Saccharomyces cerevisiae S288C: one gene and its partners. The protein of the gene in region 1 purifies or fractionates together with the protein of each later gene. This does not show direct contact. Each region holds a gene or a part of one and is shown on either strand. Other genes may lie near its edges.

Region 1 (11,758 bases):
GGACCACTATGCTTTGCAGTAGGGATATTAAGTGGACTGAACTTTGATTGATCAAAGAAGTGTACTTCTTTTTGTAATGTTGAGCTTGACGTTCCGAAGTTGTCTTCTCATCTTTCTTGACGTTATGTTTTTGGTCATAGTCCAATTTCCATTTAACCAAATGTGGGAATAAGATCCATTTGCCAAAAAGAAACCAAATATGGTAGAATATAGCAACATAAAAAATTGAGTGCAAGTTGGAGAGAATCGCTTCCGACTTGATTATATTGCGATTTGCCAAGAACGGAATCACCGTGGTCTTAAATAATTCCGGTTGAGGAAGCGACAATAAAACATCCATTTTTTCTTGTAGGCAATGTTCACCTTCGTGCTTGAATTCCTTCCGGGGGGGGGGGCAGAAGCTTGAGATAGAGGAGAGGTCTTCTTCTTTTTCTTTTTGATCTGTCCAACAAACGTTTTTTCTCTCTCCTTGGCTTATGTTAAATATGCCCTCGGGAACTGCTCGAAAAAAACAGGAAAAAAACCGCGTTGAGAAAAAGTACCAACAATATGAAATTTTTCGTTTATTTGAGCATTTGTTGTGCCAAGTATAATCAAGACGATAGAGTAGGCTGCTTTTAAAGTTAAATCAACGAATGTTCCATTTCACATAAATAAAAACTACACATAAATAAAAGATTAGCGCAATTAAAAGGAGAAAAAAAGTAAGAAACTCATCCTATCAGTAAGTCTTGTTCTTCTCGTTGGCATTCTTGGCATCGTTGTCTGCTAAAATCAAGGCTGCCCTTTTTAGCTGGACAACGTTTGCGGTCTGCTTGAACACGTAACCAGGGAAACTTATGATTGTAGTCCATTTACCAAAGGTTGCAGAATTTGAGAACAACTGCAAGTACAATCCAGCATAAAATAGTTCGTTAAACGCACAGATAGTGAACAGTACGTCTCTTCTCGTGTAGTACAGGTGTAACAATCTGGACTCACCCTCGCCCACACTTTTATGAGAAGTCTTACCAGCACTTAAACTGGCATACATATGCATGTAGTGACTAGTAATATCCAAGCCCAGCATTAATTGGAAGAAAACGCACCATTGGGGATACTGCACACAAAGGAAACACATCAAGCCAGCGGTACTGGATCTGTCGGTAACCATGTCCAGAACGGCACCCAGACTGGAAACCTGATTGTACTTTCTTGCCATGGTTCCGTCTAGCGCATCCAGTAGACATGATGTACTATACAACCATGTAAAGGCCGTAGGATGATTCTTCATAACGAAAAAAGAAAGGGCGGCGGTGATAACACGAACATAACCGATCTTATTGGGAATATACCACAGAACGTGTTCTGCAGTAACCTTTTCTGGTGTTGAATTCGAACTCATCTTGTACTATCACACTTTCCCTCTTATTTACATTACTTGAAGGCTCCACAGTGACGGCAAATAAACCATACCACCTCTCATGTTTTTTATGTTTTACTTATATACTAAAAGTGAAAAATCCTCGAGACGGAAAAAACAATAGGAGGGGCTTTCCCTATTGAGAAATAATTTCCGTAATAGGGATTTACGTGCGGAGCGACGTGAATTTTATAAAATGAAAAAATTTTATGGAAATTTAGAGCTCATCTCATCTCATCTCATCGGTACTTCATATGCAAAGACTGCAACCTGAACTGAGATTTAATTTGAGCCTCAAGCACAAGATAACATAACTAACATGTCCCGTATCATTGTCAAGGGTTTGCCCGTCTATCTAACAGATGATAATCTCAGGGAGCATTTTACAAAAAGATTACGTCAAAAACATTCCCATCAAGCAGTTAATGGTAGTGGTCCAGACCTCATAACAGATGTTAAAATTCTTAGAGATAGGAACGGAGAAAGTAGAAGATTTGGATTTATCGGATACCGTAACGAGGAAGACGCTTTTGATGCTGTAGAGTATTTCAATGGCAGTTTTATCAACACTTCTAAGATAGAAGTGTCCATGGCTAAAAGCTTTGCAGACCCAAGAGTCCCGCAGCCCATGAAGGAGAAGAGAAGAGAAGCTCTGAAAAGGTTTAGGGAAAAGGAAGAAAAATTGCTACAAGAAGAAAATCGAAAGAAAAAGAAAGTGGATGAAAATAAGCACAGCAACATTGATGACGAGATTCGCAAGAACAAGCAATTACAAGAGTTCATGGAGACTATGAAGCCAAGCTCACAAGTCACATCATGGGAAAAAGTTGGCATTGACAAGAGCATAGAGGACGAAAAACTAAAACGGGAAGAAGAGGACTCCAGCGTGCAAGGGAATTCTCTATTGGCTCATGCATTAGCCTTAAAGGAAGAGAATAATAAAGACGAAGCACCAAATTTGGTCATTGAGAATGAAAGTGACGATGAATATTCGGCTCTCAACAGAAACAGGGATGAAGATCAAGAAGATGCCGGAGAGGAAGAAAAGATGATAAGTATTAGCAATTTGAAGGATACTGATATAGGTTTAGTTAATGATGACGCTAATAGTGATGAAAAAGAGAATGAAAAGAGGAGAAACCTCGCCCAAGATGAAAAGGTTTCTGACCTAGATTGGTTCAAACAACGCCGTGTAAGAATCAAAGAAAGTGAAGCGGAAACAAGGGAAAAATCATCATCATACGCTACTGAACAAAATGAAAGTCTCGATACCAAGAAGGAAGAACAACCAGAACGTGCTGTGCCGCAAAAGACGGACGAAGAACTGGCTATTGAAAAAATTAACCAAACTGGCCGTTTATTCTTACGTAATATCTTGTATACCTCCAAAGAAGAAGATTTCAGGAAACTATTTAGTCCATTTGGAGAGTTAGAGGAGGTTCATGTGGCTTTGGATACCAGGACTGGTCAATCCAAAGGATTTGCATACGTTCTATTTAAGGATTCTAAGAATGCAGTGAACGCCTATGTTGAATTGGATAAACAGATTTTTCAAGGAAGACTATTGCATATTCTTCCTGGTGAAGAAAAAAAAAGCCATAGATTAGATGAGTTTGATTTAAAGAATATGCCATTGAAAAAGCAAAAGGAATTGAAAAGGAAGGCAGCTGCATCCAGACAAACATTTTCTTGGAACTCCTTGTATATGAACCAAGATGCTGTTTTGGGTAGTGTGGCAGCCAAATTGGGTCTAGAAAAATCTCAATTGATCGATGCTGAAAACTCAAGTTCGGCTGTCAAACAAGCTTTGGCTGAAGCCCATGTTATTGGTGATGTTAGAAAATACTTTGAATCCAAAGGTGTTGATCTGACCAAGTTTTCACAGTTAAAATCTACAAATCAAAGAGACGATAAAGTGATACTGGTTAAAAATTTTCCTTTTGGGACAACTAGAGAAGAGCTTGGCGAAATGTTTTTGCCATATGGTAAATTGGAAAGATTGCTCATGCCACCAGCTGGTACAATAGCTATAGTGCAATTCAGGGACACAACGTCAGCAAGGGCAGCTTTCACTAAACTATCGTATAAAAGATTTAAGGACGGCATAATATATCTAGAAAGGGGGCCTAAGGATTGCTTTACTAAACCAGCTGAGGCCGATGATTTGATAAATAACACTTCTGCAAAAGAAGAAGAAAACCCGGTAGAGGTAAAACCTTCATCAAATGACTTAATGGAAGCAAACAAGGATGTAACTGAAGGGTCATCTAATGCTCATGATGAAGACGTTATTGATGGTCCAACTGTCTCAATTTTCATAAAGAATCTAAACTTCTCCACGACGAACCAAAATCTTACTGATAGGTTCAAGGTTTTCACTGGTTTTGTTGTTGCCCAAGTGAAGACAAAACCTGATCCAAAACATCAAGGCAAGACCTTGTCAATGGGGTTTGGTTTTGTAGAATTCAGGACCAAGGAACAAGCTAATGCCGTGATAGCTGCAATGGATGGGACGGTAATCGACGGCCATAAGATTCAATTGAAGTTATCCCATAGACAAGCATCTCAGAGCGGTAATACAAAGACTAAATCCAATAAGAAAAGCGGTAAAATCATTGTTAAGAATCTTCCATTTGAAGCTACTAGGAAAGACGTTTTCGAATTATTCAATTCTTTTGGTCAATTAAAATCTGTTAGAGTTCCAAAGAAGTTCGACAAGTCTGCAAGAGGTTTTGCGTTCGTGGAATTTTTACTTCCAAAGGAAGCAGAAAATGCTATGGATCAGTTGCACGGTGTCCATTTACTGGGCCGCAGATTGGTAATGCAATATGCAGAAGAAGATGCAGTTGACGCTGAAGAAGAGATAGCCAGGATGACAAAGAAGGTTAGAAAGCAAGTTGCCACTAATGAGATGGCTGCCTTAAGAAATGGGGGCGGTAGAAAGAAACTGGATGTGGATGATGAAGAAAACGAAGGTTTCTAGTTTACCCTATCAGCTTATCGTATTTTTCTTTCATAATTTACATTTTATTTGAATATATAAATCATATTACTACTTTAATAGCATAAAACTCTTCAAAACATCTCATCCCGAAAAAGATTACTAAACTTAAAAATTACATGTTGCCTTGGTTTCATAATTTTGGTAATCATTCAAAATGGAAAATGTTAGCACATCTTGTTGCTGTTGTCAATGTATCTGTTATGCTATACAAAATTAAATTGTAGGGACGTAATCTTAATAAAAAGTTGAAAAAGGGTCTGAATGTTCTGAACCATTGTAAAGTATCCCGCTTGAACCTTGTTTTCCATCTCTATGCCTAAAAGTAAATCCAACAAGCTTGGAATCAACGGCAGAGTCATCGACCATTGCAGATAATTTGTTCTGTCTTTTGAAGACATCTGCATATTTAGCCATATCTTCTTCATTTGTGAAGTCATCGAAATAACCTGCATCCGTTTCATCATCTAATTGAGGAATAAATGGTGGAGAACTTGTTCTTAGGGTTTCAAAATTGATCTCTGCGAAATAAGACATTTTGCGAACTTGCTCAAAAGATCGTACTCTGTTGATGGGGTCAGCTATTAGTCTTGTAATTAAATCCCAGGTTCTATCTGAGAATGCTGCTCTTCTATCCTCAGTACGGGGCCTTCTTAAAGTTTTTTTCCAATATCTTAAATTCTCGTAAGTTTCATTAGTAGAAGAACCACTAAAAGGTGTATATCCAACCAAACTTTCAAAAAGCATACAGCCTAATGACCAATAATCCACTGTAAAATCGTATTTTTTACCTTCCAGAACTTCTAGGGCCATATAATCAGGCGAACCGACCATAGAGTTAGCGTAATTAATTTCTGTCTTCCTCATGTTATGATATATTTTCCTTCTATCCTCGATAGACCTTTCTGTGAAAGCAGGAAATTCCAAATTCTTTACTTCTTCTAAGCGTATTTTCATGCTTTCGATTCTTTCATTTGATACGGTCCCTGCTGCTAGACCAAAATCGGTCAGCTTGATATGCCCTGTAGCATCAATCAAGAAATTCTCCGGCTTTAAATCCCGGTGAGTGTAACCAAGTTCATGCAACGCGTTCACGGCACAAAACATTTCGCTGATATAGAACCTTGCGTGACCGCTCTTCAATATCCTTGTATTTATTAACAATGTGCGAAAATCACCACCAGGTACAAATTCCATTGCTAAATATAGGCTCTCTGGATCCTGAAATGCATAAAGCAACTTCACAAGCCAGTCAGATCTAGTTGTGGTTAGTATGTCCCTCTCAGTAAGGACGTGATTCGTCTCGTTTAGTTTGAATAAAAGTTTCTTGTTTAATATTTTCAAAGCACAAATTTCATCACTGTCTTTTTTTTTTGCAAGATAAACTTGCCCATAACCACCCTGTCCAACTTGTGTCAGTATCTGAAAATCCTTGTGCTTAGGTTTCAACCTCCTTTTTCTCAGTACTTCGTGTTCTCTTTGCAAATACAAAGCCCATTCTTCATTTAAAACCTTATTAGAAACGTTTTTGACACTTCTTTGCTGTTCAAGATATCTTAGCACCTGCTTCGTACGTTGTCTTCTGCTAATAACATAATCAAACATGTCACAGTAATAGTCGAGAAAGTAAAGTTGGCATACATTAACAACTCTCTGGGTTTTACTTTGGGAAGCACGCTCGTGAAAATCCTTGGGTAGCTTCTTCGGTGAGTGATTCAATGAAATGCGATTTTTGAAGGTATCTTGATCATCTGAATCACACGGCTTATATGATCTTGGAAGTCCGGGAGTTAATCTTCCATTTTCGCTCTTTCTAGCAGGCCTATATTGCGCCTGTGGAGAAGTAGGTTTAGGAATATTCAAATCATAGAACCCTAAATGACTCATATTACCAGCCAAATCATCTACCTCTCGATCACTTCGTGAAAACATGACTACCGAATTATTGTTGAATACGATATTCTGGGTTGCTAATCACTATTGGAGTTACAAGTTTGTTGCGACAATACAGTTCATCATGATCTGTGATCTAGCCGACTACAGGTCCATTGATTTGTGTTTACTCTCAAAATCTTGTATGAGGTGTATGGGTTAATTATCCATTCAAAGACAAAAATTTATGATCTTGGTGTTTGTATATAAAAATTAGTCAGAAGACATGCTTATTCTTGATTTTATATTAATTAGAAAGAGATGTTGCATTATCCCATACTTGTCGTTTGTCTTCTGCTACAATACATTGTGCTTTATGTTGCAAATATTTATTAATTCCGTTTATAGTGACTTGGATTCACAAAAATTTTGTGAAAAAATTATTGCGATGAGTTGAAAGAAAAAATTTCACTCATATTATGTAGAAGAGCAGGTATCAAGTGCATGAAAGTAAGTAGGTGAAAGAAGATATGTCAAATATTGTGGGTATTGAATATAACCGTGTAACGAATACAACCTCCACGGATTTTCCTGGTTTCTCGAAGGATGCAGAAAACGAGTGGAATGTGGAAAAATTCAAAAAGGACTTCGAAGTCAATATTTCGTCATTAGACGCAAGAGAGGCAAATTTCGACTTGATAAACATTGACACATCGATTGCGAATGCCTTTCGTCGTATAATGATTTCCGAGGTTCCATCCGTGGCTGCTGAATACGTCTATTTTTTTAACAATACATCCGTTATCCAAGATGAGGTTTTGGCTCATAGAATAGGCTTGGTTCCATTAAAAGTTGACCCTGATATGCTCACATGGGTTGATAGTAATTTGCCGGACGATGAAAAGTTTACGGATGAAAATACTATCGTTTTGAGTTTGAACGTGAAGTGCACAAGAAATCCAGATGCTCCAAAGGGATCTACTGATCCAAAGGAACTATATAACAATGCCCATGTCTACGCCCGTGATTTGAAGTTTGAACCACAGGGCAGACAATCTACCACTTTTGCTGATTGTCCGGTTGTTCCAGCTGATCCTGATATTTTATTAGCTAAGCTAAGGCCTGGTCAAGAAATTTCGTTGAAGGCACATTGCATTTTAGGTATCGGTGGTGATCATGCTAAATTTTCACCAGTTTCCACCGCTTCTTATAGATTATTACCTCAAATCAATATCTTACAGCCAATCAAAGGTGAAAGTGCCAGAAGATTTCAAAAATGTTTTCCCCCAGGTGTTATTGGTATTGATGAAGGTTCAGATGAAGCGTATGTCAAAGATGCTAGGAAGGATACGGTTTCCAGGGAGGTTTTAAGATACGAAGAGTTTGCTGATAAAGTTAAATTAGGAAGAGTGAGGAACCACTTTATTTTCAACGTAGAAAGCGCTGGTGCCATGACACCAGAAGAAATTTTTTTCAAATCCGTCAGGATTTTAAAGAATAAGGCTGAGTATTTGAAAAACTGTCCAATTACCCAATGATCCTACTTTGCATACTAATAAAAAAAACACAGTTTGAGAAAAATATTAAATACTTAACCTCAGGGTCTTTATCTTTGTATAATCTTTTCTTCTAGTATTAGTAGAATTGGCAAATCCTACCAAAAAAATACAAACCCATGAATCGTCATAGATAAGGAAATGTAATAGAATGATATATGTAAATGTAACTCTCTATAAAATAGTGCCGATAACAGTAATATGCATTACCCCTTATGGACTACATATATATACTATTAGACAGAATTGCTAGCATTCTCATTGTTGTCATTAATATTGCCGTCATTTAAAATGGCATTCATGGTTTTATTTAATGGTATTCGTGCAACTATTACAGAGCCATCGTAGCCATCACTATTTACAGGTTCTAGTCTTTCTGGCTCTTCAAAATCTAAATCTGCCAATACAACACATGTTAGTGAAAATAAAGTAAACTGTACAATAAGTATGCTAAATTCGAACATTACTAATCCAAGATTGCCGGAAAAGTTGCTCTTTGGTAGCCGTTCTCCGATCATCTGTAGAAAAAGCCCACCTCTTCTCTCACCCAAAAGTAGACCATCTGAATTGGAAAAGGGTGAGGGAGTATTCTTAGGGCCATCGTCTACTGGCTCGCTACCACTCAGGGGTTCAAAAAAATCAATTGGGAATAGGATTGTTAAGATAATGAAAAGCATATTCAACGATAAGCAACCATGAAATAAAAACTTCCGGATTTGCTTTTTCATGGACACAATAGCGGTATCATCATGGTCTTGTTGCTCAGCTTCACTAGAAGAATTATAAAGCATTTCTGTTCCAAACATTCCGGGAAACCTGATAGATCTTCCGCCTGGAAGTGTTGCAACCCCCGTCGTGTTATTATCTGCACCGAGGGTCGCTAGCCTACGTAACTTGGCATCACTTGGAAAAGGAGAACTTATGAGAGATTGCACTATTGCTCTTGTTATAAGTGTCCAGACGGTACGATCATACTTGATATATTCCAATGATATTAAAACATACCCGAGAAAGCTCAAATTATTCACCAAATTTCTTTGGAAGTTTCTTTTTCGTAGTTCGTATACTCGTTTGTTTCCTATACTTAAATTTCCTTCAGCAGTACTTTCAAAATTATCCATTATTATATTGGCCTTATTGAAAACATAGATTAGTTTGCTTTTGGCCTGCTAATGGATGACAAATAGCGTGCTTAGTATTTTTAGGCTTCCGCAGTTTAGCTTTATTTGATGATACGTCAAGAGTGCGGGATAATGTAGGTTCAAAAGGATCAAATTGTGTTTCGTTATATATGATTTCCTTGCAATAACTATAGAGAAGGAGAACAATATAACCTTGTGCATGAAAGCATCATAGTCTTAAAGAAAAAATTTAAACTAAAATGCAGAATCAATTCTCATGGATTTTTTATATAAAAAGAAGCTAAATAAGTGTTAACTTTAGGGAAAAAATTTTGCCACCTGTCAGAATTGAACTAACGACCTTTGCATTACAAGTGCAACGCTCTACCACTAAGCTAAGGAGGCTTTTACACTGTAGGGTATCCTCCAAGAAGGGACAAAGTGTCTGCATGGAAATTTGCAGCCGACTTCTCTTAATGTCTGTAACACTTAAACTATCATGGAGTGATTTCATTTCAACGATATCCCTAAAAGCGAACCAGAAGTGTTTTAGTTGAATCGTTTATTGGCTAGAACACTCGAATACAACGTATTAAACAAATGAAGAAACAATGACCGTATCATGAATTTCCTTTTATGGGGATTCCTTTTTCTGGTTATACTACTTTTTAAGAATTGGCATTTTCAGCCTTAGATTCCTCACTTTCAAAAGAAGCATGGTCCTTTATGAGACATTGCAATTATGTAACTTTCCGAACTAAATACTGAAATTTTTAATGGAAGCTTGAAAACTATAGAAGCTCTCCGTTTTAAAGGAGAAAGAGGATGATTACAATCCTTTGACTTGAACCGATCCATATATCCTCTCACTACTATTTACTCAAGTCTCCAAACTATGTATACATGTTGATGTGATTATGTGCGTTGCTAAATAATGTAAATTCCTCAAACACGATCTGACCCTGTCAATCTCACTGCTGCACCGTATTTTTGTAATTTTGTTAGCAAACCGTCACCTTGCTTAACTAGCAGATGGTATTGAGCATTTTTGTTGTCTGGCCTGTTGGTCTCTACGATCCCATTAACTCTATCAATGACACAATTTAGTTGCTTATTTGGAATAAACTTACCCAGGTCGTTATCCAAGAACGCAACCGAAACACCAAATGCGCTTGCCATAGATTTCAGCGACAAAGTCTTATATGATTCCAACAATTGTGCGTAGACTTTTCTTCTCATTTCTCTAACAAAGAAATCTGCATGTCTATTCAAATATTTACATGGAATCAAAACATTTGCATATGTTTCCAAAAGATATGGAAAGTAACTGGCATAATCGGACGCGTAAAGGGAAATTGTTAACGACGAGATAGATTGTAGTGCGGCAGTTGTTGAGATTAAAGATAACAATTCAGGTGAATCGATGACTTTGGATTTTAGGTCTGTTCTTTCCAGAGTGAATAAACCTGTGACCGATGCATATGTGGCAATGCTTTCATAGGAAGTTAATTCAATAGAGGTGAAAGTTGCTAGAGAATCGACCAATAACTTTGCCGCTTCCTTAAAGTTTCTTACGGCCAAGCAGTGGATACCATAGTATGTTTTATATCTATTTCTTCTCTCCCAGTCACCACCTTTTTCAATCATAGAATTGACTGCTTCCAACTTCTCCTTAACATAAAGTTGGTCGTTATAAAAGAACCCCAGCCTTGCAATTGTTAGCATAACATCAATTTTGGCGCCTGTGGAAATAGCCTTCGATAATGATTTCCCTAGCGTCTTTTCAGCATTATCTTTGTCACCGATTTGTGCATAATATTCACCCAGATTAATCCAGGCTTGAGCTTGTTCTAGTTCACCTTCATCATCTTCTTCCAATTTTTGGATCTTTTCATTTAACTCTTTAATCTTACTTTCATTTTTTTTGCACAATTCATTGTATAGCTCCTGGTCAAATTTGATCCATTCGTTTAAAGAATCTGACTTTTCATCGTGTTCCAAGTCAGATTGGCCATTATTAACAAGGTATTCCTCGCAAAGATATTTATAATAAGGGGCCATTTCTTCCTCTTTAATTTTGGCTAAAACGAACTCTGCCGCTTCCTTACGCTGTTCAATACTAACCTTTGATTGTGTCAAAAGAAACGCCTTTTCAGATACCTCATAATTGGGCACCCTATTCACCGTTGGATCAACATATTCAACTTCTTGACTTTTCTCTTCCACGTCTACCATTTTGCCGTGTTTATCCAGAATTTTTGCGTGTATTAGTAACTATTGTAACAGTGGTAAAAAGCGCAGTTTACTACAACAATAGAGATTTGTGTAGTGTTAACAATTAGGTTTTTCAATGCTGCCTTGTGTATATTAATCCTCAATGGGTGGCAAACTTAACTTATTCGGAAACTTGATTGAGCATGCATTTACGCGCCGTCGGTTATGATATGGGGAAAACAAGTGTTATTACAATAGTCCACTATAACTTTTAATAATTATATAGAATGCACTGTACTTTGTTGTTCCAATCGCTTCAAAATATCACATTTCTGAATTATAAGCTAAAGATTTCTGCACTGTATCTTAAACAAGTATTCTAGGACGAATAAAATCAATAAGTTTATGTAATGAGCCTAATTCACCCCGATACAGCAAAATATCCTTTTAAATTTGAACCTTTCCTCAGGCAAGAGTATTCGTTTTCACTCGATCCTGACAGACCTATTTGTGAATTTTACAATTCTAGAGAAGGCCCTAAATCATGTCCGAGGGGACCGTTATGTCCAAAAAAGCATGTGTTACCAATATT
Region 2 (4,158 bases), on another chromosome or scaffold:
TTCTCCCCGGCCGTTGATGAAATTGACCCGAACGACTACTTTATTATGGACTTTTCTTTAAGACTATACAATGTCAAAGCCGAAGTCCCTCTGTTCACTTCTGGCTTAACGTATATCAATAGTGCATTGATAAGGCCTATTGTCGGGTACATCAATTCTCACAGGACATACATCCCAATCAAATGCCGCATTGTAAAGAAAAAGTCTGATTTTGAGGGCTCCTGGACCATATATGATTCATACCTTATGCGGGATCTAAGTGCGGAAGCGTACGATGCCTTCGCCGACTACGTCGCTGACGATGAAAAGAGGACATTACGCTTGAGAAGGGTGGGCTTTTGGTCACTGCAACTTATACTCCAGGTGATTTTGATGAGTCTCGGTGCTATCGCGTGAGGAATACCTACTCCTGTCACTTTCTGTACATATGCATTTACATAGCATCGTTCTTTCTATCAGTTTATCTAATTTGTGACGCATCTTTCTTCTTTCTACACTGCGGAAAATCCTATTTGAAAAAAAATAGACGAAAAATATCAGGACCCACCCCCTTATGAAGGAGAGAAGGGGAAGAGGAGCTGCAAAACAAAAAGGTGAGGCTTCTTCTGTCCAGATTTTTGTGAGTGAGAGAGTGTGTGGGAAGAGAAGGAATTAAACCAAACAAAAATTGGAACCAACAACTGTTGCGTTTGCGTGTGTGCATAATATCAAAAAAGCTACAAATATAATTGTAAAATATAATAAGCATGACTCGTCCCCCATTGGTTCGTGGAATCTTTTCGTTAGGTCTTTCTGTAGCCGTTTTGAAAGGTGTTGAAAAAACAGTTCGTAAGCATTTGGAAAGACAGGGATGGATAGAGCCCCAGAAAGTGGACTATGAGTTAATTTTCACTATAGATAGGTTGAAAAACTTGGTAGATAATAAGCGTGAGGCTTTAACTGCGGAACAACCCGACGCTGGTGAACTGAGCTGGCGTAAAGTATTTAATTTCATTTCCAGACAATCCAGCGAATTGGACACACGAATATACGTTCTTATACTACTCCTATCCTTTCTACTACCTATCGCGTGGACTGTACTGGACGGTGATCGCGAGACCACGCTAGAAGATAAGGATAACGATTGTAATGTAGATCTTATTGAAAACGAAAGGAGGCTGAAGCATTACAACGATGGTGAAAGAGCAGTATTGCAATTTGGTAAAAATAGATCCGAACCTATTATATTAAGCTATAAGGACATGAACGTTTTGGAAGGGGAACATGAGTTTACCTCCAAAGAGGAACACAGTAACAGCCATTTGACAAGCAAGAGCGAAAATGCACTAAACCAAGTAGGGAGTGAAGATTTGTTAGGTTGTCACCTGGAAAAGCAATTGGAAGAAGACAAAAATGAACCGAATGGAGAAGCAGACGGTGAGGATGATAATAACCGGGAAAAGGATTGCAGCTCCAGTTCAGAAGTTGAGTCGCAGAGTAAATGCCGAAAGGAAAGTACTGCAGAGCCTGACTCTCTCTCACGGGATACCAGAACAACCTCTTCCCTTAAATCAAGTACATCATTCCCCATATCATTCAAGGGCTCGATAGACCTTAAGTCGTTAAACCAGCCTTCATCATTGTTGCATATACAAGTATCTCCCACAAAATCTAGTAATCTAGATGCACAAGTGAACACTGAACAAGCATACTCTCAACCATTTAGATACTAATGTACTATATTTCCGTCATCTCGGTTATCATCGTCACTTACAACGAGGTGCGAAAATTTTTTTCTTCTAAAGGTGAGAAGAAAACATGAAAAATTTTGAAAAATTTAACGATGAGATGGAGTTTTCAAGTAACTTTATGTAGTTGAAATACATATTAGTACTCCGTTGCAATATATAACGCCGGGCATTCTCCACGTATATACATACCGTAGTGCACAATGGGCTCCTCTTTGGATTTGGTGGCGAGCTTCTCGCATGATTCCACTCGTTTTGCATTCCAAGCAAGCGTCGCACAAAAGAACAATGTGGATATTTATCCATTAAATGAAACTAAGGATTATGTGGTCAATAGTTCATTAGTGAGTCATATTGACTATGAGACAAACGATATGAAGGTTTCAGATGTAATCTTCTTTGGGTGGTGTAGTGATTTGATAGATACGCAGTCATCCAATATCAAAAGAAAATTAGATGAAGATGAAGGAACTGGTGAATCAAGTGAGCAAAGATGTGAAAACTTTTTCGTTAACGGATTTCCTGACGGAAGAATTGTTGTTTACTCTTCTAATGGTAAGGATATAGTTAATATCATCAAGAATAAAAAAGAGATTTTGGGAGCAGACACAGACGAGTCTGATATATGGATTTTGGATAGTGATAAAGTCGTTAAGAAATTACAGTATAACAATTCGAAACCTCTAAAGACTTTTACGCTAGTTGATGGTAAAGATGACGAAATAGTTCATTTCCAAATTTTGCACCAAAATGGCACTTTATTGGTATGCATTATTACTAAACAGATGGTTTATATTGTTGATCCATCAAAGAGAAGACCCTCTACTAAGTATAGTTTTGAAATATCAGACGCTGTAGCATGTGAATTTTCTTCAGACGGTAAGTATCTGTTAATTGCCAACAACGAAGAATTAATAGCTTACGACTTGAAGGAAGATTCAAAGCTGATCCAATCATGGCCTGTCCAAGTGAAGACATTGAAAACTTTAGATGATTTGATAATGGCTTTGACTACTGATGGTAAAATTAATAATTATAAGATTGGCGAAGCCGACAAAGTTTGTTCTATAGTTGTAAATGAAGATTTGGAAATTATAGATTTCACGCCAATAAACAGCAAGCAACAGGTTCTAATTTCATGGCTAAATGTCAATGAACCCAACTTTGAATCTATTTCTTTAAAAGAAATTGAAACTCAGGGGTATATTACAATAAACAAAAATGAAAAAAATAATGCTGATGAAGCGGACCAAAAGAAATTAGAAGAGAAAGAAGAAGAAGCTCAGCCTGAAGTTCAACATGAGAAGAAGGAGACTGAAACTAAGATAAACAAGAAAGTTAGTAAATCAGATCAAGTTGAAATTGCTAATATTCTCTCATCGCATTTAGAAGCTAATTCAACAGAAATATTGGATGATCTGATGTCTGGAAGTTGGACAGAACCAGAGATTAAAAAATTCATCTTAACCAAGATCAATACAGTAGATCATCTAAGTAAGATATTTTTGACTATATCAAAGTCAATAACACAAAATCCATGGAATGAAGAAAATTTACTTCCGTTGTGGCTTAAGTGGTTGCTGACTTTGAAAAGTGGGGAGTTAAATTCTATAAAGGATAAACATACAAAGAAAAATTGCAAGCATTTAAAATCTGCATTAAGATCTTCAGAGGAGATCTTGCCTGTTCTACTCGGTATACAAGGTAGATTAGAAATGTTGAGGAGGCAAGCAAAATTGAGAGAGGATCTTGCACAACTATCTATGCAAGAGGGTGAAGATGATGAAATAGAAGTTATAGAGCATTCAAATGTAATTAGTAATCCTTTGCAGGATCAAGCATCGCCTGTTGAAAAGCTTGAACCAGATTCAATTGTTTATGCAAATGGAGAAAGTGACGAATTTGTCGACGCATCGGAATACAAAGATTGATCAAGCATTTTAAATATATTTAAGTATATACAAAGAAAAGTTTCACATGAGAAGCACTGATTGATGCAGCTATTAATTTTCAAAAGATTACGTTGTCTTCATCATTTGAGACGGGTCATCGCAAGAAAATTTTTCAATATTAAACTATAATAAAATGTAGTAAAAAATAGATGCAATACTACTATTCAATTTTTGTGGTTTTCCAGTTATCAAACTAAGTATAGACAAAATTTGAGCATGTCAGAGGAATTTATCGCAGTTTCTACTTTGGCTAGAAACCTGGAAATTGCCAAGGGTAATGAGTTTCATACCATTTTGGCGACTTTAAGATCACCAGTTTATATCAATGAACAGCTGCTAAAATCCGAATTGAGCTTCCTTGTTACAAAAATCCTAAAACTTATCAGATCAGGCAATGACTTTGATCTTTGGAAAGGATGTCACACCTCTGTTGTGACTTGCGCCTATAATCCACTGGTCTTATCGACTCATGGAGGTCA
Region 3 (11,297 bases), on another chromosome or scaffold:
CGAACCTCGCATCCTTCAGTATTTTTTGTCCTTATCTTTTTGCTGCACCGAAAGCACTCATGAAGTCTACGGCTTGATGCACACCGTTTGGGAACCTTTGCGATCCCACGTACCTAAATGGTCCTTTTCGGTACAACTTGCTGAAGAATCACTGTGTGGCGGGTAATGCTCTCTTTATACTTGCATTGCGAAAATCCGCGATGATCAAAAATCCAAACAAGTACTGTCCTGAAAGCCGTCTTTATACACATAGATATATATATATATATATATATATCTGTATCTATAGAGCGAGAGGAGATATAGAGCCAGCAAAACTAAGAAAATTACGTACTTTGATATGCCTAGCACGTTTGAATCCCAGCTTTTTTTTTCGAGACCGTTTCTGTCTAAAAGGCAAATTCAAAGAGCCCAAAAGAATACAATATCGGACTATCGAAATTACAACCAGAAAAAACTTGCCGTGTTCAAATTTCTAAGTGACTTGTGTGTTCAGCTGAAATTTCCACGGAAGACTTTAGAAACAGCAGTATACTTTTACCAAAGATACCACCTCTTTAATCGCTTCGAGACCGAGGTTTGCTACACTGTAGCGACAAGCTGCCTGACTTTGGGCTGTAAAGAAGTTGAGACAATTAAAAAAACAAATGATATATGTACTTTGTCATTACGATTGAGGAATGTGGTTAAAATCAATACGGACATTTTGGAAAATTTTAAAAAAAGGGTATTTCAAATAGAACTTCGGATATTAGAGTCATGCTCATTCGATTATAGAGTCAACAATTACGTTCATATTGATGAATATGTTATAAAAATTGGTAGGGAGCTATCCTTTGATTATAAGTTGTGCAATCTGGCTTGGGTAATTGCTTATGATGCTTTGAAGCTAGAAACTATTTTAGTCATACCCCAACATTCCATTGCATTGGCCATTTTGAAAATAGCATATGAATTACTAGATAATAAGAATTGGTCAAGTAAAAGGTATTCTTTATTTGAAACAGACGAGAAATCCGTAAATGAAGCTTATTTTGATATAGTCAATTTTTACATCAATTCATTCGATATGTGCGATCTACAACGTCATTTACCGGCTGATTTGCTGCCGATTGGCGTTGAAAGGTTTATGGAACTGAAAAAAAACGCAGGACCAGAATCTGGATTGCCGCAAATACCAGATCACCTGTTGAATGCCGATCCTTATATCACTATTACTAGAGATAATAATGTCCAAGAAAGAAGATATGTACTTTCACTGGAGCTAATTAATGGCGAGTCCAGCATAAATAGTTCTACAAGACATGCATAGAAAGTCCTACTATAAACTTAAATAAGATCATCATTATAAACTTTCTTTTACACAAGTAATAAGTACCTTTTTTTATCTCAAAACATGAATGTTGAGCTTCGAGGTTTAATTCACAAAAAAAGAAAATGTGCTCCAGGGGAGGTTCGAACTCTCGACCTTCAGATTATGAGACTGACGCTCTTCCTACTGAGCTACTGAAGCATACAAAGGATGTTGGGGAAGAAAAACAAACTTTACATCAAATATTTGCGGATTCCATGGTTATTAAAGGATATAGCACCGGGTATACAGGACATACTAGAAGTTCTCCAGGGGATCTTGTAATCCACAAAAGAGAATTGATATTTTCACATAATATTGTCATTATTGTTTCCCCAATTTATATGATATCATTCATTATTCTGTTACACTATCAGTCCTGGCATTTCAGCATCTATTAAATCTGATGACTGTTTTCTCAATCTTCATGCCATCTTGGTACATCGTACATGATAATATATTAGTAATATGAATACTATTCGATAGATTATAGTTGATCCTCATTAGGACATCTATCGTAACAATGGGAATGTTCATATCATACATTAATTTATACGAGTTGTTCAGACAGTAGTATAAGGCAAAGATCTTTTACTTGAAAGGTTAACTTAAAAATTTTGGATATAGAAGTCATTATACTAGGCGCGTAGTATTTTACTGATGTGTTTCCAAGCTAGGGCATACTGAATATGTTCTCTGGGCGCGTGTTTATATGCTTTTCTTATATACAATAAGAAAAGTTTACTTCTATTCTCGGTAAAAACATTCTTACGGCTTGACCACTATTGATGGATATGGTTTATTGCTCATAGGTAGAGGTCAAAAAGCTTTATTAATGAAGATTGAATATCGATCTTCTTAGACTTATATAAGGGGGATATAAAACACACGCCGATTGGTTCATTCCTAATTGTGACCAATGTAATAGTGGTTCCGGCAGTTCTCATACATTTAATGTGAAGACCTGTATTGCTCATATATATGACTATCAGATCATATTCAAATAATGGATTTTTAATTCTGCTTCGGTACTGTCTGAACTGCTTCTTGAACATTTCCTTCTGTAATAGGTACATTGACAGACATATGCGTGGTGTATACTAGCATAAAATGTAAGCATCGAAATTGTTACCAATTGAATTCATGTTGATATCTAATGATCACTTGTCCGAACATTTTGTATTATTAATCAATAAAGAAGCTGCCGGATTTAGATAATTAAAGAGTTGCGAGCACATTTACTATTTCAATAGCTTATTTTATATAAGCCAAGTTAATGGTGTTTTTGTCATTATTAACGGTATTCGAAAATGTTCATCACCTCCGCTAGTGGCAAAAAAAAGTGAAGAAAATAGTATAGCATGATGATGTTCTCACTTTACAGATACCGACAAGACAACTTGAACCTCAAGGGCAATAAAATCATCAATTAACCATGTCACTTAGATTGCCACAAAATCCCAACGCGGGATTGTTTAAACAAGGCTACAATAGTTACTCTAACGCCGATGGCCAAATTATTAAATCAATTGCGGCCATTCGCGAATTACATCAAATGTGTTTGACTTCTATGGGACCCTGTGGTAGAAACAAGATCATTGTTAACCATCTCGGTAAAATCATTATTACCAACGACGCGGCCACCATGCTAAGAGAACTAGATATTGTCCATCCTGCAGTGAAAGTCCTCGTAATGGCGACTGAACAACAGAAGATCGACATGGGAGACGGTACAAATTTAGTCATGATTTTGGCTGGCGAACTATTAAATGTGTCCGAAAAACTGATTTCAATGGGCTTGTCTGCCGTTGAGATTATTCAAGGTTATAATATGGCAAGGAAGTTTACTTTGAAAGAACTAGACGAAATGGTTGTTGGTGAAATTACTGACAAGAATGATAAAAACGAACTTTTGAAAATGATTAAACCAGTCATCTCCTCCAAAAAGTACGGATCTGAAGACATATTGAGTGAACTTGTTTCTGAAGCTGTATCTCACGTTTTACCAGTTGCTCAGCAAGCTGGAGAAATTCCTTATTTTAATGTTGATTCTATCAGAGTAGTAAAGATTATGGGTGGATCGCTTTCCAATTCTACCGTCATCAAAGGTATGGTTTTCAATCGTGAGCCTGAAGGCCATGTAAAATCATTATCCGAAGATAAAAAGCATAAAGTTGCAGTTTTCACTTGTCCGCTTGACATAGCCAATACTGAAACGAAAGGCACTGTTTTATTACATAATGCACAAGAAATGCTCGATTTTTCTAAGGGCGAGGAAAAGCAAATAGATGCCATGATGAAAGAGATTGCCGACATGGGCGTAGAATGCATTGTTGCAGGTGCTGGTGTTGGTGAATTGGCGTTACATTATTTGAATAGATACGGTATACTAGTCTTGAAGGTACCAAGCAAATTCGAATTAAGAAGATTATGTCGCGTTTGTGGGGCCACTCCATTGCCTAGATTAGGTGCGCCAACTCCAGAAGAATTAGGTTTAGTGGAAACTGTTAAGACAATGGAGATAGGTGGTGATAGAGTAACTGTGTTCAAACAAGAGCAAGGTGAAATTTCAAGAACATCTACTATCATTTTAAGAGGTGCCACACAGAATAATTTGGATGATATTGAAAGAGCCATTGATGATGGTGTTGCAGCCGTCAAGGGACTAATGAAGCCATCAGGCGGTAAGTTGTTGCCTGGTGCTGGTGCTACCGAAATTGAATTGATTTCTAGGATAACTAAGTATGGTGAACGAACACCTGGATTGCTACAGTTAGCTATAAAACAGTTTGCCGTGGCTTTTGAAGTGGTTCCTCGTACCCTAGCGGAGACCGCTGGTCTTGATGTTAATGAGGTACTACCAAACTTATACGCTGCACATAACGTAACTGAACCTGGTGCAGTTAAGACAGATCATTTATATAAAGGTGTGGATATTGATGGCGAATCTGATGAAGGTGTAAAGGACATCAGAGAGGAAAATATTTATGACATGCTTGCAACGAAAAAGTTTGCTATTAACGTCGCTACAGAAGCTGCAACTACTGTGCTTTCCATTGACCAAATTATCATGGCAAAGAAGGCGGGTGGTCCAAGAGCACCTCAAGGCCCAAGGCCAGGTAACTGGGACCAAGAAGACTGATTTGTTTGCATCTTTATACTTACAAAGTAGATATACCTGCAAACAGCAGAATATAATGTCATAAATTGCAATCAAGTTTTCAAACTTGCTAGGCTGTATCATGTGTACCTGTATAGTAGTAAAGATATATATAATGTTTGAATTTTTGATAATGCAGATGTACTGTATACATTAACCAAGAAGCAACCTGCAAAACCGACGAACTCTTGGCCTGTATATTTGTTCGATGATTGTAATACTTTTTTTTTTTTCAATTTTTTTTCGGTTAGCGAGAATTTTCATGCTCATCTACAATATAATGAAGAAAATTATATTAGATGAGCTGCGATCTGTTACAACTAGTATACTGTGAACGACGCTGAAACCTTCACGGAAAAACCACATTATTGTTATTATGGGAAAGACTAAAACAAGAGGCAGAAGACACCAAGACAAACAGAGAAAGGACGAATTTGAACCCAGTTCAAATTCTGCGAAGGAGCACATCCAGCAAGAAGAGTCTACTTACAATGACGAAGCCGAAATTAAAGAGACTCAGCCACAAATGTTTTTTGGTGTGCTAGATAGAGAAGAACTGGAGTATTTCAAGCAAGCCGAATCGACTTTGCAATTAGACGCCTTCGAAGCACCTGAGGAAAAGTTTCAATTCGTCACGAGCATTATTGAGGAAGCAAAAGGTAAAGAACTGAAATTGGTTACTTCCCAAATAACTTCGAAATTGATGGAACGAGTTATTCTTGAATGTGATGAGACTCAGTTAAAAGACATTTTCCAATCTTTCAATGGCGTTTTCTTCGGGTTGTCATGTCATAAATATGCTTCCCATGTTTTAGAGACTTTATTTGTTAGAAGTGCCGCCTTGGTAGAAAGAGAACTTTTAACACCAAGTTTTGATAACAATGAAAAAGAAGGGCCTTATGTGACTATGGAAAATATGTTTCTCTTTATGTTGAATGAACTGAAACCGCACTTGAAAACTATGATGAACCATCAGTATGCATCACATGTTTTGAGATTGCTAATATTAATTTTGTCTTCCAAGACATTGCCTAATTCAACTAAAGCGAACTCTACTTTACGTTCCAAAAAGTCAAAAATTGCAAGAAAAATGATTGACATTAAAGATAATGACGATTTCAATAAAGTTTACCAAACACCGGAATCTTTCAAATCTGAACTTCGTGACATAATAACTACTTTATACAAAGGATTTACTAATGGTGCCGAGTCGCGTTCTGATATTTCGCAATCTACTATCACCAAATTTAGAGAGTACAGTGTGGATAAAGTGGCTTCCCCTGTAATTCAGCTCATTATTCAAGTCGAAGGTATTTTTGACAGGGACCGTTCATTTTGGAGATTGGTCTTCAATACAGCAGATGAGAAGGATCCTAAGGAGGAATCATTCCTGGAATATTTACTGTCAGATCCTGTCGGTTCTCATTTCTTAGAAAATGTGATTGGCTCTGCCAGGCTAAAATATGTTGAAAGACTTTATCGTTTATATATGAAAGACCGTATTGTGAAACTAGCAAAAAGGGATACTACAGGTGCCTTTGTAGTGCGTGCATTGCTGGAACATTTGAAGGAGAAGGACGTAAAACAGATATTGGATGCAGTAGTTCCTGAATTAAGCATGCTTTTAAACTCAAATATGGATTTTGGTACTGCTATTATCAACGCAAGCAATAAACAAGGTGGTTACTTAAGGGATGATGTCATTGCTCAATTAATACAAAAATATTATCCAGAAAAGTCTGATGCAAAGAATATTTTGGAAAGTTGCCTGTTGTTGAGTGCATCGACTTTGGGCAATACCAGAGATGACTGGCCAACAGCAGAAGAAAGAAGACGATCAGTTTTCTTGGAACAATTAATTGACTACGACGACAAGTTTTTGAATATTACCATTGACAGCATGTTGGCTCTGCCTGAGGAAAGGTTGATACAAATGTGTTACCATGGAGTATTTTCGCATGTTGTTGAGCACGTACTACAAACTACTAGGGTGGACATAATTAAGAGAAAAATGCTATTGAACATACTGTCTAAAGAGTCTGTAAATTTGGCATGCAATGTATATGGCTCTCATATAATGGACAAATTGTGGGAATTTACGGCAAAATTAACATTATATAAGGAGCGTATTGCTAGAGCATTAGTTTTAGAAACTGAGAAGGTGAAGAATAGTATTTATGGCAGGCAAGTGTGGAAGAATTGGAAACTGGAATTATATGTTAGAAAAATGTGGGATTGGAAAAAACTAATTAAGGAGCAAGAATTTGAAATATTTCCAAATTCTAAACCGCTACAGCCAAAGCCAGAAAAGCACTCAAGAGAAAGAAATAATTCGAAGGAAGGAAGCGCCTTCAAAAAGCAAAAGCACTATAGATAATTGGATAATATGTTACTACTGTACTGATGTAAATTATAGAATTATGCAATATTTTCCTCTTAATAAAAAACCTTAGCTTAAACATTATTAAGGAACACTACAAAGAATTTTGCAGATTTTTAAAAGTTGTCAGTTGCTACGATATTGTATGAATAAGTTGGCGATATTTTTTATATTTAGTTTACTTTCCAGTCAATTCTTTCCGCCCTTTGCATCTATAAATTTAAATAGAAGGATAAAAAAGTGGTTATGAATAGGTAAATAATACTAGAGTAGGACGATAGAAGTCTGTATGAGTTACGGAAGCTTGTAAAAAACCTCAGAGATGCTCACAAATTGTGGTATTCTATACAATGACTGCCATCTTTTGATATTTATCGAAAATGTTACCGTCCCACGTCTAGATGAAAACAGTGATAATTTACTACCATGAAAGCAATACGCACATAAAGGATATTAATTTTAGGGTCTCTTGATGCACTATCATGAAATTTGTAACATGCTGACCTCCTAGTATCCCGTGAATATGTATATTTCAGAAATAGCCGAATATTAAGAAAATTGTTCGTATTCCATTGTTGTTAAGGGCTACAATATTAGGGATACAGAACATACTACGAGTTCTCCTCGAGAACATAGAAATCCTTATATTAGTATTAGTAAAGGATTTTATTATTTATTGGTAACTACTAAGTGTATTTATTAAAGATAATATTCAAAAGTAATTGTATTGTTGCGTTTATGAACAGAGTGAGACAAGTATAAGTATGTTATTATAATATCATACATACCATTGAATAAATTATTTTAATGAAATGGTTATGTTTATATACTCACAAGGGAATCGGTATTTCTTACATAATAGTATTACTCTGTCTTCGTTCCTTTTATACATTGTCATTCAACACCCTATCCTATTACATTATCGACCTTGAATTTCGGCTTTTATTAAGTCTGATGACTATTTCTCATCATTCATGTCATCTTCTTACAGATATGATAATATACAAGTAATATGAATGCTAGATGATAGGTAATAGTTGATTTTTATTTGAAATAGAATCTTCAATGATCGCAGTGGATCTTTTAAAAACTTGGCGAGATAGTGGTAGGGTTCAAGAATAAAAGCAGATCTTCTTATACTATACAAAAGAGGTGTAAAACATGCGCCGATTAGTCATATCAAACATGACAAATATAACAATACTGAGACTATTTACTATAGTTTCTATGTAATGACCCATATCCTTACATATACAAACGTCAAGTTAATTGTTCAAGTAACAGATATTTAACTTTACATTATCACATAGTCTATATCGTTCTCCATCCTGACACATCAATGACGTTTGCGTCTAATTGCTTCACAATTACAAATTCATCAGTAATAAAGAATAGTATGTCACTATTCTAACAGATAATATGCCAGTAATATGACTACTGGTCAATATTAAGCATAACTGTAAGACTGGATTTTGTAATGTCACCTATTAGAAAATGTTAGCCTAAATTTTCAACAAAAGTTGAAGCGGTGGCTCAATGGTAGAGCTTTCGACTCCAATTAAATCTTGGAAATTCCACGGAATAAGATTGCAATCGAAGGGTTGCAGGTTCAATTCCTGTCCGTTTCAATTTATTTTTTTATTTTTTTTGCACCATATCGTTCATGGTGATTCTCTCTTTCCTAGCCGCCAATAACGTCGTAACAATACCGTCCTCTTCCCTTTCTCTTGTTGCAGATTAGGTCTGAAACGAGATAAAAGTCTTACAGAGAAGTCGGCAATGCATACTTACTAAGAGCATGCATTCTAAAGTATGCTTCGTGCGTTTTAGGATAGATAAAGTATCATTTAATTCCGCTATTTGTGAATCGTTAAATGTCACAGGCAAATCGACATGTTAATGATCTTACGACAGAGTAGTTTATGCCGAGGGTTACTTATATTTCAACTTGTACATCTCTTAGTCTTGAATATCCGGCACAATTTTCATTATTTTGCTAGTGCGTGGATCCTTTGGCGCTGACACTAACCGGTAAATTGTACTTTCGTTCATCTTTCCTTGTCATAAACTCTTCGTCAGTAATTTCTTTAGCAATAGAAGCTAAAACAAGCTTATTAGCAAACAGTTCGTGTACACAACTATGAGCAATCCATTACATTAAAAGGGTTTACTGTATAATGTTATATATGTAGCATGAATTATAAAATGGTCCTCCCAATCATTTTGATAGGTTATTCTGCGGAATGATCAAGCTTTTCTAGATTCCTTCAGATAATATCATATGTTAAGGAGAAGAACAATTTTGCTTAATCAAACTTCTGGTCACATGAGTTGAACAGAATGTAACCTTTTATTGATAGTCTGCAGTCTGGTTCTCCACGAACTACATATACTATTTCTATTTACAAAATAGTGTGATATTTCACCTTCTATGAGATGAAATACAAAAGAAAGCTTCGCTGCAAGGTTGAAAGATAATTAGCACTTATTCCTTGAATAAGTGGGCAAGAAAAAAATATTAGCCCTGTAGGGGGCTCGAACCCCTAACCTTATGATTAAGAGTCATACGCGCTACCGATTGCGCCAACAAGGCTAATTCGTTGAAAAATCCTTCAATTCCTGAAAATTATACCAAGTAAAAAAAGGAAAATTGCCTGAAAAATTATTTTTTTCAATGCCATCGATCTATGAAAGTTAAGCAAATAACAGCCACAGTAGAAGAGAAGTTGAGTGAATCCAACACCCACCACTGAAAAAATCGACACTTAAACAAAAAACTTTAAACGTTATGAAAGTTCTTGAGGAAAGGAATGCATTTTTAAGTGACTATGAAGTCTTGAAGTTCCTAACAGATCTAGAAAAAAAACATCTTTGGGACCAAAAAAGTTTGGCTGCGCTGAAGAAAAGTCGCTCGAAAGGTAAGCAGAATAGGCCCTACAATCATCCTGAATTGCAAGGTATTACTCGCAATGTGGTTAACTATCTCAGTATAAACAAAAACTTTATCAACCAGGAAGATGAAGGCGAGGAACGAGAAAGCAGTGGTGCAAAAGATGCTGAAAAATCGGGTATAAGCAAAATGAGCGATGAAAGCTTTGCTGAGTTGATGACTAAACTGAATTCTTTTAAATTATTCAAGGCTGAAAAACTGCAGATTGTCAATCAACTTCCTGCCAATATGGTCCACCTTTACTCCATAGTGGAGGAGTGTGATGCAAGATTTGACGAAAAAACAATTGAGGAAATGCTAGAGATCATCTCTGGCTACGCATGAGTGTACAGTGCTTTGAATTGATTTGGACTGGCACTTCCGAAAAACAGAAATTACTTTGTTGTGTAACAATATAACATGTTCAATGAGTATGCATGTATTATTGAACTTAAGCATATAGAAATATTTACAAGAATATACTTTATTTTTTAGAGTTTATTGCGCACACTTTGGGTTAGTCTCGATTTTTTTTATTTCCATTGGAGGAAGGTTATTATTTGGAAATTTAGTGCTGCGTTATAAACGTCTGTAAAGCCAGTACCACAAGCAACTTCGGTGAGATTTAACTTTTGTTTATTCTGTATTTTTGTCGAGGCTTAAAAGGGTATACTAGTTGAGGGCGTTACAGTAATCCCTTCATGGCAAGAATAAAGTAATAGTTATATAATAATTGTCATACGCATTGTTATACCAGTTGACGAGTAAAAAAAGACGCACCGTGACTTCAAGAGCTGTCGCAAACAAGTTCGACAATATTTAACTTATAAACATATTAAAGCTTTCAAAAATATAGTCTTTCGAAGAGCTTTTTCATACTAAGAGAAGCGTTGCTAATATTCCGAATTAATCACGCAATTGCCTCTCTGCTTTCCACGTAACCCATCATAGGAAATTGTATTAATATGTTACTTACTGGAATTGCACAGGAAAACACCGACAAAAAATTGGTTTGTCTGCGTTTTGACGGAGAGCTACTGACTTGTAGGTTCACTTTTTCACACACCGCACTATGCATATATGTTGCATTTTTATTATTCATCCGCACGTGGCTGCACACGTGAATGAAAAAGAAGCAATACTATCTTTATATATTGAGGCAATCAGAAAGAAGTTACAGGCTAACAATCAAATCGGCCAATAAAAGAGCATAACAAGGCAGGAACAGCTATGAAGTTTGGTGAGCACTTGAGCAAGTCTCTTATTAGACAGTACAGCTACTATTATATTAGTTATGATGATCTGAAGACTGAGCTAGAAGATAACTTATCTAAGAATAACGGTCAGTGGACGCAAGAATTGGAAACAGATTTTTTAGAATCTTTGGAGATCGAGTTAGACAAGGTTTACACATTTTGCAAAGTTAAGCATAGTGAAGTTTTTAGACGTGTAAAAGAGGTTCAAGAACAAGTGCAAC

The links.
Region 2: the proteins of MRD1 (region 1) and UTP9 purify together in Saccharomyces cerevisiae (affinity purification with mass spectrometry; 2 studies listed by BioGRID). This does not show direct contact.
Region 3: the proteins of MRD1 (region 1) and NOP9 purify together in Saccharomyces cerevisiae (affinity purification with mass spectrometry; 3 studies listed by BioGRID). This does not show direct contact.

What each region holds. Positions count from the first base shown.
Region 1 is NC_001148.4:741,883-753,640, reverse strand, and holds MRD1 (RNA-binding ribosome biosynthesis protein MRD1), read left to right. Parts: upstream 1-1,721; coding exon 1,722-4,385; downstream 4,386-11,758. Other genes in the region: ALE2 (Ale2p), read right to left, coding at 1-340; PIS1 (CDP-diacylglycerol--inositol 3-phosphatidyltransferase), read right to left, coding at 722-1,384; serine/threonine-protein kinase DBF20, read right to left, coding at 4,641-6,335; DNA-directed RNA polymerase core subunit RPC40, read left to right, coding at 6,806-7,813; GLD1 (Gld1p), read right to left, coding at 8,068-8,952; proteasome regulatory particle lid subunit RPN7, read right to left, coding at 9,898-11,187; cleavage polyadenylation factor RNA-binding subunit YTH1, read left to right, coding at 11,577-11,758. UniProt on the Saccharomyces cerevisiae protein: Involved in pre-rRNA processing. Required for maintaining steady-state levels of 40S ribosomal subunit. Required for the initial processing of pre-rRNA at the A0 to A2 sites, leading to the processing of the 23S pre-rRNA intermediate to the 18S rRNA.
Region 2 is NC_001140.6:490,001-494,158, forward strand, and holds UTP9 (Utp9p), read left to right. Parts: upstream 1-1,930; coding exon 1,931-3,658; downstream 3,659-4,158. Other genes in the region: MDM31 (Mdm31p), read left to right, coding at 1-396; NVJ1 (Nvj1p), read left to right, coding at 747-1,712; RIX1 (Rix1p), read left to right, coding at 3,896-4,158. UniProt on the Saccharomyces cerevisiae protein: Involved in nucleolar processing of pre-18S ribosomal RNA. Required for optimal pre-ribosomal RNA transcription by RNA polymerase I together with a subset of U3 proteins required for transcription (t-UTPs).
Region 3 is NC_001142.9:413,153-424,449, reverse strand, and holds NOP9 (RNA-binding RNA processing protein NOP9), read left to right. Parts: upstream 1-4,887; coding exon 4,888-6,888; downstream 6,889-11,297. Other genes in the region: CTK2 (Ctk2p), read left to right, coding at 341-1,312; YJL007C (uncharacterized protein), read left to right, coding at 1,438-1,752; chaperonin-containing T-complex subunit CCT8, read left to right, coding at 2,787-4,493; DNA-directed RNA polymerase III subunit RPC17, read left to right, coding at 9,680-10,165; VTC4 (Vtc4p), read left to right, coding at 11,051-11,297. UniProt on the Saccharomyces cerevisiae protein: RNA-binding nucleolar protein required for pre-rRNA processing. Component of the 90S pre-ribosome involved in production of 18S rRNA and assembly of small ribosomal subunit. Component of the pre-40S ribosome required for release from the nucleolus.